2 linked regions of the Rhinolophus ferrumequinum genome follow. The protein of the gene in region 2 purifies or fractionates together with the protein of the main gene of each other region. This does not show direct contact. Links are inferred from orthologs where the notes say so. Each region holds a gene or a part of one and is shown on either strand. Other genes may lie near its edges.

Region 1 (8,096 bases), on a different chromosome or scaffold from region 2:
GAGAACCACTCTAAGAACATTTGTCAATATTTTTTGTTTACTAGAATATTGGTACAAAAAAAAACAAAAATTTATTCATCTAAATAATGCCTCTAGTATAAAAATATTAGAAATTCCTCTTTTGGGATTTCATAAATCATTAAAAACTATAGAAAATGGTCTCATTTTGTCACATTCAGTCCCATGTTTTTCTATATTTTCACTATATTACCTACCATATTTTAGGACTGTGCTAGACCCTGGGAATAGAGAGGTAATTTAACAAAGGCTTACAATCAAGCATTGGCCAGACATTATCAATTTAGTGGAGGTGACAACACTAATCTCCACCTTACTTTCTCTTTTAAATGACTGGTTATCTACACCCAACTTATCAACACTCTTCAACATCCTGCAGCTCATTCTGCATTCATGTGGGTCATATATCTCTTCTGATCAACACCTTCAATGAAGTTTTTCATAATTTGTCTTTTTCATCTCCTATTACTAACTTACACAAACCATGACATTACCGAAGTGGTCTACTAATCGTTTCTCAGGTATAACTTGTAACTTTCCAGGAACCCAACAATCCGTTCATTTAGAAATGTCCTACAAAATCTGCATGTTGAAAATCTTTCAAAGTTCACTCATCTCAAATATCATCTCTACCAAGACGCAATCACAAGTAATGTCTCTCTCACCTAAATTCTTGATTATAATATTCATAAGGCACGTACTGTAGTGTTAAAAAAAATACTTGCCTACAAGCTTGACTATAATAAGTTCTTTGACAGCAGAAACCACGTTTCATTCTTTTTATTTTCCAAAGGGCTTTCCCTGGTAGACTCACAGATACTTACCTACTTAGCTTTCTAAAGTAACTTTTTAAAGGGACATTTCTTTTTGATATATGCATTGCTTCTTAAATATTAGTTCTCTTTATATACTACATTGTACAAAATTCATGCTCCTTTCAAAAGACAATTAAACCACTGTACTCATCTTAGACTCTCTGGAACTATCCTATTTATCAAAATGATCCTGCAATCACATGCAGACTTAAAAATGTTTAAAAACTACACTAAAGAAAGCTGTTCCTTAGTCCTTTCTTTTTTAGGAATAACTACATTTCACATTTCTCACCAAAAATCTTTCACCATTTATGTACTTCATTTTCTTGAAAAGAGTCTACAGTCTGTCATAAGTCAATATAGTTCACAATGCTCCAATACCTATCTGAATTCCAATTTATATCAAAGGTTACTTCAGCAAGTTTATTTCAGGCTTTAAGGATATTCTGATCCTTACACAATCTCTAAATGCATCTGTCATGGGAAAAGATTTTACTTCTTGGCATTCCTAACACAGAGGATTGGCATGAGGATCAGTTAAGATTGTGTATGTGAAAGGTAAATAAAAATTGTAAGAGCAATGTATAAATGAAAGAATAATCTCCTTAACTCAGAACTTCAAAATTTGAAAGAAACCACTACAAACTAATACTATCATTAAACTGCACTGCTACGTTATTTACTTACTAATAGGTTATAAAGAGCTCACATAAAAGACAAAAAAGTAAAAATTGGCAATAAAACAGACCAAAACTAAGAAGCAATCTTAAGTAGAAGATCCCTCTTGCATATAGCAGGAAGTCAAATATTTTATTCCTGGAATATTTTTTGTACTGTCCCTTTTTTTTCAATCCTGCCAAAAAAAATGATATAATGCTCCTGGCAGAGTGTAACTGTTACAATAACTTTTTCTTAAAATTAGCATTGTCTTTCAGTAAGATTCCTAGTTTTTCCCCAATATGTATAAGAGTATGAATTCACTAACAATATTTGTATTGTTCAGGTTCACCAACAGTATTTGTTTGTATAGGTTCAAAGCCAATAGCCTATTATCTGATTTGGTCAGAACTTTCCAGATAATACAATTGTCTCAACCAGAAATGTAACCAGGACAACTTCATTAATTTTGGATATAGGTTTTCTTAAAGGAAAATAATGATTAAACCAAAAAGTTCTATAGATCTACTAAACAAGAAGTCTAGAGATCCTTGGTTTAAAATTCATCCTCAGTTTAGAGCCTATGCTTCTGCCAGAATTCCCCCCGTCTGGCCTAATTTTCCAGTCTAATACTGATTATATGAGTATGAAAACCCTAAATATACTTGAATGCAAAACACCTACAAGAATCTCATCCAACAGCTCAATTTGTATCCTGTAAGTATTCAAGTGTTCTGTAGTTAGTAAACATGTAACAGTAAAGGTCTGCGGCACAAAACTCTTACGAAAATTTCATCCAAACAAAAGCTGCAGATGGACAGACCGTAAGGAGTAACGAACGTCTAAAACAGTATGGATCAAACACTGGTCGACGAAAAATTCCAGGGACGATAACACCTAGGTTTCCCTGTTCACAACAATAAATAACGGGGCCTTGAGGCTGCACGAGTAAGTCCCACCACCCCAATTGCGCCGCAAAGCGAAACCAGGACTCAGAAGCCGGGGCGCTGCGGGGTTTTCGGTCGTCTGCGACCACCGTGACTGGGCTGGCAAGCCGGAATAGGGACACCTCCAAAAAAGGAGCAAACACCTCTCGGGGATTCGCTTCATCCCTCTCGCCTTCCACTTCCCAACGGAGCGCCCCCTGGGATCCCTTCCTCAAATCTACGACTGACTCGCGTCCTCCGCCGACCCCTGCTGGGGCGGCCACCCCTGCATCGCAAAGCACAGAGAAGAACCGAGGCCTTCCTCTCGCCTGCGCGCCCACCACTGTCCCGTACTGAAAAAGCGGCCGCTATAGAGGCCGCAGCACCCAGCGCGCGGAAGCGAGAACCGGCACCAGCTCCTCGCGGCAAGCGAGGCGCCCTTCGGCCCCGTGCCCCTCCCAGCAACGACGCGCTCACCTCCACGGCCTTCCCCACGGGCCCCGCCAGCGCGGCCATCAGTAGCCTGCGACAGCACCTCCACAAGCTCCTCTTTTCTTCCCCTGGCCTCGGAGAGCGGCGGCGTCGCGTCCGGAGGCCAGGAGACGGCTCAGCACCGCAGCCCGCCGGGTCCCCGCCTCCCGCACCCGCCACTTCCCGCAGGAGCCCCGGCTCCTTCCGGTGTTTCCACGACCGCCGCAGGCGTCTCGGGAGTCGAGGGAGGGCGGGGAGGGGCGGGGCTGTGGGGAGAGCCCGCCCCGCCCTTGGGGCGTGGCCGCGGCGTCCGGGCCCAGGTGAGGAGAACCAAGCCTGCCCTCACCTCCAAGTTTGTTAATGGTACAGGAACCGTGTACGTGCCGAGCACTTTTAGGCTTTGGGCACTTTTCCTTTAACACGTGTTCTCCCCCCTCTTCTGTCACTCTACGACCACCAGCAGGTCTTGACTCGATGCATTACAGATTCTGCATTAAGGGTGGCCACGGAAGAGCCTCAGGTTTCTGACCTTGTGCAAAGAAGTATTAGACAACTCAATCCAACGCTGTTTTTTCCCTCTCCTCTTTCTTCTCCCAATTTCTTAGGACCTAGATTCTTTGAAAGTAATTGTATTTCCTTTTCCACATCTGTAAAGTAGAACTTCATCTCTCCCATTTTCCCTTCGGCCAAAATCAAGAAGATCAAATCAAATATTTATTGAAACCTTAGTATCTGCTTAGTGCCTAGAGCATTGGAAGAGACCTGTCTTCTAGTTGATGTAATTGCTAAAATTCATTCAAATGATTTATATACAAACAAAAAGTTAATGAAAATTATTGTTAAAATTGCCAGTTTCAATCTAATTACTTCTTTTTGGTCTCCAAAATGTGAACATGTAGCCAAGAGTTGTACAAGATGCTCAATCTCCATCAGAAACAAGTAGGTTCCTTTGTTTACTAAAACCATGTATTGATTGGTACTTTTAAGCCTCCTGTATTTGATAAAAATTATGATGACCAATTCCTCATCCATAAAGGCAATTTAAAAACTGAAGACGAAAGAAACAAGTAGAAAATATGGGAGCTTCTAATTCTATTTTTATGGTAAAAATGGAAGAAATGAACCTTTGCCAACATTCCATGTGCGGAATGACACCAAGACCTCAGTTTGCACCACACATGGTTACCTATCCTGATCACTGAGCAAGAATAGAAATTTCACAATGTAGAGGGTGCATGTGGTACTACCACTGTTCTCTTTGTTTTCAGAATATTTCAAAATATTGTGGCTTTCATGTCACAGGATGTTAGCAATGTGGTTAATTTTTATTTTAAAAAATGAAATATCTAAATTTTAAAAATTTTATACTCCGCTGTAAAGAGATGAGAATGATCATGAAAATCATTTGTTCTCTGATGTCTTGGCAAAGTACTGGTTGATTTAAAGAGTTTTATAGGTTTACTTGAAAAAAGTCAAATGTTTTAAATTTTTCTATGATAACAAGTGGCTTTTCTATGAAAACAAGTGGCTCTCAGCAATATGCTAACTATGAAATTTTTTTACTGTATATATTTAACCTCTGGCCTCAAAGTGAAAAGTGAAGTTTCAAAAATGAGTTAGGCAGTAACTGTTTTTTTAAAGAAACCTACGCAATGAAGATAGCATTTTGAGGGGCCAGTGGCTCAGTTTGTTGGAGTGCCATTCTCCTAACACCGGCATCGGCATCGGTGGTTCAATTCTCACATGGGCCAGTGAGCTGTGCCCTCTACAGCTAAGATCGTGAACAACAGCTCTCTGTGGAGGTAGGCTGCAGTAAACAGCTGGAGGTTGGCATGAGTTGCTGAGTGCTGCTGGCCGCTGCTGTATGCTGCCGTGAGCGGTCAGCGGGCCAGCGCAGCCAGCGAGAGCTGCCGTGAGCTGCTGTGAGCTGCCCGCCGACAACCGGCTGCCTCAGCCGAGGGGAGTGCAAGGCTCATAATACCAGCATGGGCCAGGGAGCTGTGTCCTACACAAGTAGACTGAGAAAAAACGGCTTGAACGGGGCGGGGGCAGGGGGGGCGGAATAAGGGGGGCAAAAAGGCATTTTGAAAAAGGGGAGTTGAAACTGATTAAGCAATTTTGCTGCCAAAAATTATGTGCCACCTATAAAAACTCATCTTTGCATCAAAAGAGACCATTAAGAGATGAAAAGTCAAGCCAGAAATTAAGAAAAGACATTTATAATATGTATAATTGATAGAATTTTTACATATACATATATGTCCACAAATCAATAGCACAATCAAATAGACAAAAAGGCAAAAGTCATTGCTTCAAAAATTCCTGCGTTGAAAATATATCAAACGTGTTCTGTTATTAAGTGTTCGAGCAAATTTACTTCAACCTCAAAGTCCCCCCACCAATCTGCTTGGTAACCAAGGTACTTTTTGGCTTATGTTTCCTTCAGAGGTTCTAGGACACTGGGAAGACAAATAATGCCACTGCTCAAGACAGGTGTAGCTCATGCCTAGATGAAAGCAAGCAAGTGCCTCTCATGTACACACCAGGTCAAGTCCGTGCTGTGGACCAATCCTCACAAAGCAAATGCACTCTGACAATGCAATATATCTCCCACTTTTAACTTCCGTGGATTCCCACCCTCCCTACCCACCCTAGGATGTTTGCATTTATCCCTTTTTCCCTTAATCCAGAATTCTTAATCCCTTATTTTTCTTCAAATATTATAATATGTGGATAGGCTATAAGGAAGGATGTTATCATTGGGAAATCGATCTATCAACTCCCTTCTCAGAGAGGAGAGATTATACGGGCGGGGGGTGGGGGGAGGTGCCAAAAAAATGTCTACAAGTGGACACTTCGGTCAGCGTTGCTCAAGCAGTAGTTCACCGTAATCAGAAGTGTCTGGACACTGAGGGTAACCACTTTGAGCACCTCTTGTAATTGCAGAAGTCAAACATGACTTGTATTCATCTTTTGTTATTGGTATATATTGAGTATTATAATGTTAGTACAGTTTTCCTTCCTTAAAAATGTGTATACATTTTTTTGGCACCCTCTGTATATTCCATGGTGTAGACAGACACTCAGCTGAATCACACTAATTCTGGAATGGAACTCTACAGATGCCATTTGTATTAAATACGATGTGAATTGTAAGCCCAGGAATTGTGCATCAGGCTCTCCTAATGGGGCATGAGAGGGGGCAGGGGCGGGGAAGGGGGAAGAAGAGAAGAAGAAAAGGAGGGGGAGAAAAGAAGTATGGGTAGGATAGGAAGGAAGACAAATATGAATGGTCATATCAAAACAAATACTTTCTCATTTTTGCAAATGAGTAATGGCAAGTAAAAGTAGCAATGCACAAAACATACATTTTGATGATCGTGTACCTGAGAATGACTAATAATCCTTTGCAACTGTTGTTCCCTCAGTCAGATACACTTTTACCAGATACCTCAAACTCCTCTCTCTCATTCACCTAGCTAACCCCTACCTAGATAGTCCCTAATGAAGCATTCTTTACCCCATTCTCATTTTTGTTTCCTTCACAGAGGGTATTACAAATTTTAATTATTTTAAGATTTTTGTGTGTACTTAATTTTCTGCCTATCTCGTCTGAACTGTAAGGTCGGTGAGAGCAGTTAGCAATTCTATCTTATTCACAATATTCTCAGAGTCCAGCATTAAAGAACTCAAGTACTTGTTGTTTCTCAACTAGGGGTGGTGAATATTCGCATGGTGAATATTTGGCAATATCCCTGAGGAGGGCTGGAGGAAGAAAGATTTAGTTACATTCCTTTGCATTAACGCATCAAGGGAGTCCAAAATGTCTTCAGTGACACTGTTGAGAAACCCTGATTTAAATTAGGCTTTATAATGTTTTTGGTTGTAAGTGACAGAAACCCAATTAAACTGCTGCTCCTAATTTGATGAAGAAGGTGGAATTTGTAAGGGACAAGAAGAAAACAATATTATTCTTCTCATTATGGTCTCTGAAAATCTCTGAGGATCCCTCTCTACTCCTAGGACAAAATCTTACTCATACATAGCCTTTAGCTTTGCCAGTCATTCTCAAGTGATTAAAAAGTCCATCAGTCATTTTCTAGCAATAAACACGTGGCTTTTTTACCCTGGTATTAAAAACCCTGTCTAGTACAATGTCAAAAATCCCAGACTCGTGGAGTTAAAAAATTCTCTGCTATTGCCACCCCACTCCTCCCCACCATTCCTCACCCCTGGCTTTTTGTACCTTCTCCCTTGCTGGCTTGTCATTTTGGGCTCCTCCACAGTTGGAGAAAACAGGGACAGAAAGAATTTTTCTTGACTGGAATAGTTTTAGCCTGAAGTCAATGCCTCTAGGAGTAGCTGAGGTTTCAACTGACCCTCTACCTCACAGAGTGCCTTTGTCAATACATCAGTGGGAATCCTCACCTACAGTGGCTTGGCTCAGCAATGTATCTGCTGGTGTACCTTATGACATATACCTCAGTGCTCTGGTTTCCAGGGTTCATCCCTAGGTTGGGATCATATCACCCATGCAGGCAGTCCTGATGGACAGTCTGCTCCAGGATGACAAGTCCAGCTCTCTTTGTCCTCAGTTGGTCTACAAAAACCATGTGTGTCTTGCACAGCAGTGTTTCCAGTCAGCCCTAAGTGCATCTTCTGCTTGTAGGCAGCCTTAGCCTCTTGCCTTAGGACTTTTCAAATGTGAATGAGTTACCAAGTCTTGTCTCTCCAAGATGCCAGGAGACACATGTCATGTTTTCCAAATGGTCCTCTTAAAGCCCTTCAGACTTGGCTTGAGATGAAAGGGGAGCATCTACTGCTCCCCTTTGATTTGGATGTGTAGGTATTTGGCACTGGCTTTTGGGATCTCTGCCAAAAATCTTATTTGTTCACTCTTAGGATAAGGTTTTAGCTTATTCTAGCTCAGGGTTTCCCAAAATGACACCACAGACGTGTTGGACCAAATAATTCTTTGTTGTGAGGTATAGTTCCTGTGCTTTATAGGATGTTTAGCAGCATCCATAGCCTTTATCCACTAGGTACCAGTAGCACCTCCTCCCAGTGGTGACAAACAAAAATGTCTCCATATATTAGTAAATGTCCCACTGGGAGCAAAATCATCCTCAGTTGATAGTCACTGCTCTAGCTTAGGCTGGTGCTTCTCAAAAAAATTTTTTTTCAGATTACCAGATCAGATCATTCAAAA
Region 2 (7,321 bases):
ACAGAATAATCACCATAGGACCAGCGAGATGAGCTAGGCTGGGAGCCGGCAGAACTGACTTAGGGGCCCTAGCGTTAGGAGAGATACAGGTGGGTAGCTGCAGATTCAAAGGCAAATGAAAGGGTTAAGCAATCAGAGCATGTCATTCCTGTGCCATTCCACATTAGGTCACTGCGCAGTTATTACAAATAGTTACCTGCCGTCTCCAGGGGGGGAAGCAACCACACTCCAGTCAAGGGATTTTGGAGAAACAGGTGCAATGAAGTCATGGTCAAACAATTTATTTACTGTAAACTTTAGACTTTGCTCAGGAAAACAACTGAAGCTACCCCTGAAATCCCTGCCTACAACACCCTGTTTCAGCAAATAAGAGGAGCGGGGAGAGTCCATGTTCACAGCTGCAAGGTCCACGAGAGACTCAGGGTCCTCCAGTCCAAGGGTGCAGGAAGGAAGCTGTCCTTCAGATACAAATTACCAGCAGCAATATATTACCCCTAATACTTGACCAATGAGGTAGATACACAGAAAAGTCATCAAAACACAGCAGCCCCAGGTCCTCTGGGACCGAAGCCCTTCAGACATCAACTTGCAAGTTCCATGCAAAGAGGAACCAAACTATACAAGAAACAATCACTCAAATACGTTTTCTCTTTTTTACAGCTTAGAAAAAACAAAACAAAACAAAACAAAACAAAAAAAAACAAAAAAAGGCAGAAGGATGTCCTCCTCCTGCACATCTCTATACAACTTTATTCTAAATGCATTACACTCCAATAATTAAATAGTCTGTGTAGTGTTTTGGGGGGGGGTCCTTAAAAAGTAGAAAAACTGCATTAGAGCAGTGAGTCATTTGTACTACAGTTCCTCCCTTGGGAATCAATGCTATCATTAGGCACAGTACCTGGACGGTTCACAAAGTCTGCCTTGCCTGGGGCATCCTCACACAGCAGTTTGCGGTCTTTCTCCTGTCCCAGGTGATATCCACTCGGCTCCCCTGTGTAGTCAGATCTGTCCTGGCTGTTGGAGCAGCCATTCCCATAGGCCTTCAAAGAAGACCTGCGCAGGCACAGAAGCTCCTGGAAGGCAATCCTGAAATCCGGGCTCCGGCAGTAGATGAGGGGATTGAAAGCCGAGTTGACATAGCCCACCCAGTTTAGGAGGATGTAAACTTCCTTGGGGATGAGGTTATCCTGGATCACATGCACGATGTTGACGATAAAGAAGGGCAGCCAGCACAGCGTGAAAGTGCCCATAATGATGCCCAAAGTCTTCAGGGCTTTGTGTTCCTTCAAGTAGAACTTGGAGGACCTGCGAGGTACGTGCCCGCTCCTCCCATCCTGCTCCACTTGGCTGAGGTTTTGGGCATGGAAGCGGCCCTCAGATTTGTCGATCTTCTGGAGTTGTCTTTTGGCCACCCGGAAGACCCTGGAGTAGACAAAGACCATGACAACCAAGGGCAGGTAGAAGGACACGATGGAAGAGGCAATGGCATAAGCTTGGTTCGTGAAGAAGTCACAGCAGGTCTCCTTGGCATAGCACTCCATGGCTTCTTGGTGCGTGGCCCGGTACCAGTGCATCTGGATGGGTAAGAAGGAGGTAAGACCTGACACAACCCACACCATCAAAATGACCACCCGGGCCTTGTTCTTGGTCAGCAAGCTCTGGTATTTGAAGGGTGTCGTGATGGCAAAGTAGCGATCCACTGCAATCACGCACAGGGTCTCAATGCTGGCCGTGACGCACAACACGTCAATGGAAGTCCAAAACTCACACCAGAAATTGCCAAAAGTCCACATTTTCATGAGGATATGGCTGGCCCCAAAAGGCACCACCGCCAGGCCCATGACCAGGTCCGCACAGGCCAGCGAGGTGATGAAGTAGTTGGTGACCGTCTGCAGACGCTCGAACTTGGCAATGGCTGTAATGACCAGCACGTTTCCAAACACGATGGCCAAGACGATGAGGGACATGACCATGCCCATGCCCACCACCCATGCATCATTCCGCTCCTGCGTGCCGTCTTGGTCCGGCGCATGGCTTCCGTTGGGTGCCAGCAAGAAGACGGTGCGGTTCCCGGGTTGTCCCATGGCGCGCAGGCTGGCAGGTGAGCGCACTGGCTGTTGGCTCACTGGCCGCGCCTCAGAGGGCGGACCTTCGGCAGGGCGCTGCGGGCAGCGAGGGGACGCCTGGAAGCCTCATCCAGCGGCCTGGGAGTGGGTGTGGTAGGGGCGCGTCCTGCACTCAGCTTGTGGGGTGCTCTGGGCTTCAGGTGCCCGTCAATGCCAGCCTGCTATCTGGAGAAGCCGCCTCAGAGTGCGCGCTGCCCGTTATGTGCACAGGACTTTAGAGGAACTGCCTTCCCGGTGACGTGCGGGAACTTTCCGCCAATGACACACGGGCAGCCCCAAAGGGGCGAGGCTCCCTCCCCTTCCCGCCCCTCTCCTCCCTTCTCCCGCCCCTCCTGGGGCTGGCCCGGGCGGAGCCCTCTGCTCCCGGGGCGGGCCACCTCCCCTCCCGCTCATCTGGCTGGGCCAGGAGGGCTGGAGCTGGGGCTGGCGTGCTTACCAGCCAAGCCAGGAACTTTGGGCTCTTCTGTGGCTGCTACCTGTCCGCCTTGGGCGCCTGTGTGGCCTGAGGTCTCAGGACGGAGAGCAGTACATGGGCACTTCCCCATAATCGGAAACAGAGACGAGTGCCCACGGAGACACGCATGGACAGGCACACATGCACCCCAACAGACAAGCTCAGGCTTATACCGACACTGAGACACACCCGTCCAGCGCACCCACAATCACACGCGCGCGCGCACCAAAACCTACAGGCGCAGTCCCTGAACAACACAGAGATAGGGCCAGAAACAAACAGAAGCACCCAGAGCACAAAGGTATGGGCACACGCAGAGAAAGAAGTAAACAACACACAAACGCTCACTTGGAGGCAAGCAGAGCGCCCCATCCAGGTACCCAAACCCTACACCCATGCACCCCGACCTCCACGACACTCACCCCCCGCCCCCGCGAGCGCGCGCGCGCGAACACAAGCATATTCCCTTTCAAACATTTGGCAAGACCACAGGAGGTGACTTCAACAGCTGCCGATTTCCTCAGCACGCTCGCTGTCAAAGTACTTTTGGTGCTCTCCTTGGAAATGTACAGGCATCAAGACACAATTTCACTCTTTGGGTTTCATTTGGAGCTGGGCTGTCTTGTATGTGTTTTGGATAGAAAGAGAAAGTTGTATGCTTTAATTTTTAATTTTGGGGAGTGTGGCATCACTCCCTTATTATTAGTTGAAATGAAAATGTGTTGAAAATGGAATTAATTTTCTTTTTACCCCAAGGCCTTCAGTAATCCCATTACAACTGGAAAAATTATTTCTTTCCTCTTCTAGGAAGTTTGTAGATCTGTTGGATTGAGCCACTTGAAATTGCTGCTATTCTGTGACTCTTGACTTTAAAAAATGGCAATTTCATATGACAGTTTATTAGGAATGTTAACATGAAGGACTTTTGAAGCCACGGAAAGCAAAAGATAATTGTTCCTTAAAAAAAAAAAAAAAATGTCAAACCAGGCCTTCAAACTAGGGTTTTTGTCTATGAAATACTATCCTTTGTATCTGGCATGTGACTTTACTGTTAAAAAGAAATTAACTTCCAGGGTTTGATTTCACATGTATGAGTAGTGTCTTTGAAAAACTGAAAGTATTTCATGCAGGGTAACCAACATACTTTGTAGATTACATAATAACATAACAATGGCTAACGTTTATGGAACATTCTGCCATGTGCTTTTCATGCATTATTTCATTTAATCCTTCCCACAGTCCCATGGTGGGGGGGGGTACTATTTTTAGCTTAATTCACAAATGAGGCTCAAAGAGGAATTTAGCTTGCCCAAGGGCACAGGGTGAGGCAGTGTCAGAAGCAGGAGGTGAATCCAGGTCTGCCTGAGTCAAAAACCCATTTTTTAATCCTTTCAATGTACTGTGTCATCATTCGCAGAAAAGGATGGAGTATAGGGAAAAAGGACTACAACTGGAATTGGAATACCCTAGCTTCAGATCCTCCTGCCTTAGAACTTTACAGCTCTCTTTCCTTAGGCAAATCAAAAAGATGGAGCCTAATTTCCTCCATCTCTAAATGGGTAATAAAGTCACTTCCCTTGAGCTGAGTGAGAATCAAACGATATAATAATAAATGTGAAAGTGTTTTTGCACATATAAATGTCAAGTGTGGGTTATAAATGAAATTTATATAAATTACTCAGTAGTTTAGAATATGTTGTTAGTCTGCTCTAATAGAACAATAAAATACTTTAGGACAAAAGTAACTTGGACTTTTACTCCAAAAGCAAAGCTCAGAAGCAAAAGTTAACCTATATGCCCCCTTTAACTTCCTTCACTTGCAGAAATGGCTTGCAAAGACAGATGCCTTAAAAAACAAATACTTCCCATAAAACCCACAAATATTAAGGATCTATTATGTTCACATAGTTTTCAAAATATACCCACCTCATATTTGTGTGTTCCAAAATTGGCTCTGGTATGATGCATTTTAGGAAGCGGCAGTGTCTGTTATGCAACAACGTTTCTTTAAATATACATCTACCCTGAATTGTAGAATTAAGTCATTTAAAACCTCCTTCCTGTTTGTGAAGCTATGGAATAAATAAGCATATTGTTTAACCTTCCCATAACAAAAAAAGAACAAAGAAAGTCCTTTTATGACAAACACTAATTGATCATTTAGACATACACATAAGTCACTTAAAAATTTAACATGGAATATTTTGGGAAACACCTTTTTAAAAACCCAGGAACACTAAATCAAGAGGGGAAGACGGCTTATGTCAACAAGGATGGTCCAGACCTTTGCCCACCAGCCTTGCAAAATGGACAATTTCTCTGTCTCTGTCCCTCTTTCTCCCTGTCCTGTGTTACCAAGCTGGTAGGAATTTCAACATGTTATCTTCATGCCAAGAGTCTTCTTCAGACCTCCTCTTAGAATTATAGGATTAGAGAGAGTTAGAATGGGAGAGAGTTTCAATAGATCATCTAGTTTATTCCCCCCGCTCCAGTTTGCAAATGAGGAAACTGAAATGTAGAAATAAGAAGTGTCCAGGGGAAGGTGGCAGGGAAGCCCAGGAGTCAGGTCTGCTCCTGCCGTCACATGTTTTCACTGCTCAGTGCTCTACTTTGATTTCTCAGCAGAGGAGTTTGGCTGGCACTGTTTATTGGGCTTGTGGCCTTAGAGAGTTAATGCTTCAGTTAAACTGGAAAGTTCTTAGTAGACTAAATATACCTTTATCTGATGGAAGAAAAAGCAGGCTTTTTAAAATGGTGATTGATAGTGTCTAATTACATATTTTGTCAATCCCTTAAGACATTGATTTGTCATTTCCTGCCTGCCAAACAGGAAAACACACACACACACACACACACACACACACACACACACACACACACACACTTTGATTTACCAAATGAATGTTTGAACAGGAGTGAGGCTCTGTGGTACCAGGGAATGCCCTCACACCAATAGCAGGACGGCTTAGAAAATCTTACCCTGGTCTTGGTTTAGACAACATTCATTCCATCTTCATGATCCTCTGTGCAGAGAAACATTTGTAGATTTCTTTCTAAATGATGGTCTTAAATATCGGTCTTTAATATTTATCTCTGTACGGTATCATCATGTTAAGTTTATATTAAATGAGATTAAATGCATGTAAAGCATTTAGCATGCTGCCTTAGAAGAGGGATAACTGTTACCATCATTATCTTCTTTTGAATCAAAATGTATATATCAAGTACATATTTGTCTTTTCAGATCATATTGTAAAAGGACCCTTTGAACATAGGTAATGAGTAATTTATTTTAAATTTGAATTGCTCCGAAAAAGAATGAAAAAGGGCACAAAGCTTGGTTCCTTAGGAAGAAGAACAATAATGAAAATCGGCATTAACATTGACTTATAGAGCTCGATGGGATGTTAGTGGTATTTGAATGAAGCATCTCACGTCTAGTCAGCTCCTTATACAATAGCACCCGCCAAAACTCTTAGAGAGCCACCTCTAGTGAAAGCAAGCTCACCAGCTCTTTTGTCAGGGTATATTTTTCCAACTCTTCAGATATTGAACTGAACTTTATCTTCTCATAGCGTCTACCCGTGGATCTTAAGTCTGCCCCCTTGAGGCCATTTCAAACAAGTCTCCTCTCTCTTTAACTTTGGGGCGAGTTCCTGAGATTCTTCTGAGCTCTCCTCCTCAGGTTAAATATTCCTTGTTGCCTTGGGTCTGGAGTCTCCTTCGCCATCCATGGGTTTGTCGATGTCCAACCTTAACATCAATACCTGGAATGATCCTAGAACGAGTTATCAAACAAATCAATTTGCAGTTGCCTTGGCAACCATGGAGTAAGCAGAGCAACCAGCAAAGCTTTCAGAACAGCTGATTATACCAGATGAATTTAATTTCCTGCTATGCTAGCGTTTTATGAGAGACATGCTAATAAATTTTTCCGCGTCTCAGGGGGACTGAACAAAGGGAGATGACATTAAATTAACGCAGGAGAGACTTCAGTTGGTCATATGAAAGACTCTTGTCTGAGGAGATTCAATTATTCAAAAGGACTAAACTCTAGTAGCTTTTCTCAGTTAGAGTTTTACAAGGGAATTAAACCACACAGAATAATTGTTTGAGTGACTATTCTTCCCAGTTCTCCCGAGGATGGTACATAGCTATTACCCTATAACTTCATAGAGATGAAGTGATTACATACAATGTAGTGGATGCTTTAGGGCATAGGGCTTAATTCTCTTGCTGAATCTGAGTGGGATTGCTTGGATGGAGTCTCCTTCAGATTTGGGACACATAAAACATACACAATAAAGCGTGTATATTGATGAATGTCTCTTTGTGATGGAAGCACTTTGGCGCAGAGGAGAGAGCATGGATGGAGGTTGGTAGAACTAGGTTCTGGTCCCAGAACAACTATACTGTTATACAGAGGATGCCAAAAAATGTATACACATTTCAAGAGAGGAAAATTGTATTAAAATTGTAATACTCAGTAGATACCAATAACAAAGAATGAATACAAGTCCCGTTTGACTTCTGCAATTATAAGAGGTGCTCAAAGTGGTTACCGTCAGCGTCCAGATAATTCTGATTCAGCAAACTACTGCTTGAGCAACATTGACCAAAGTGTCCACTTGTATTCTTGTTTTTGGCACCCCCAGAATATAACCTTAAAGAAGTCACCTTCTTTCTTTGAGCTTCAATCTTCATCCATGAAATGGGAGTAGGAGTTTGGGCTCAGTAA

Evidence for each region.
Region 1: the proteins of ADRB2 (region 2) and USP33 purify together in Homo sapiens (affinity purification with western blotting; 3 studies listed by BioGRID and IntAct, with this or other methods). This does not show direct contact. The link is inferred for Rhinolophus ferrumequinum from reciprocal best matches to the Homo sapiens genes ADRB2 and USP33.

The regions. Positions count from the first base shown.
Region 1 is NC_046292.1:57,736,017-57,744,112, forward strand, and holds the start of USP33 (ubiquitin carboxyl-terminal hydrolase 33), read right to left. Parts: upstream 3,107-8,096; 5' UTR 2,933-3,106; coding exon 2,894-2,932; intron 1-2,893. UniProt on the Homo sapiens protein: Deubiquitinating enzyme involved in various processes such as centrosome duplication, cellular migration and beta-2 adrenergic receptor/ADRB2 recycling.
Region 2 is NC_046307.1:21,401,429-21,408,749, reverse strand, and holds ADRB2 (beta-2 adrenergic receptor), read right to left. Parts: upstream 2,341-7,321; 5' UTR 2,088-2,340; coding exon 834-2,087; 3' UTR 699-833; downstream 1-698. UniProt on the Homo sapiens protein: Beta-adrenergic receptors mediate the catecholamine-induced activation of adenylate cyclase through the action of G proteins. The beta-2-adrenergic receptor binds epinephrine with an approximately 30-fold greater affinity than it does norepinephrine.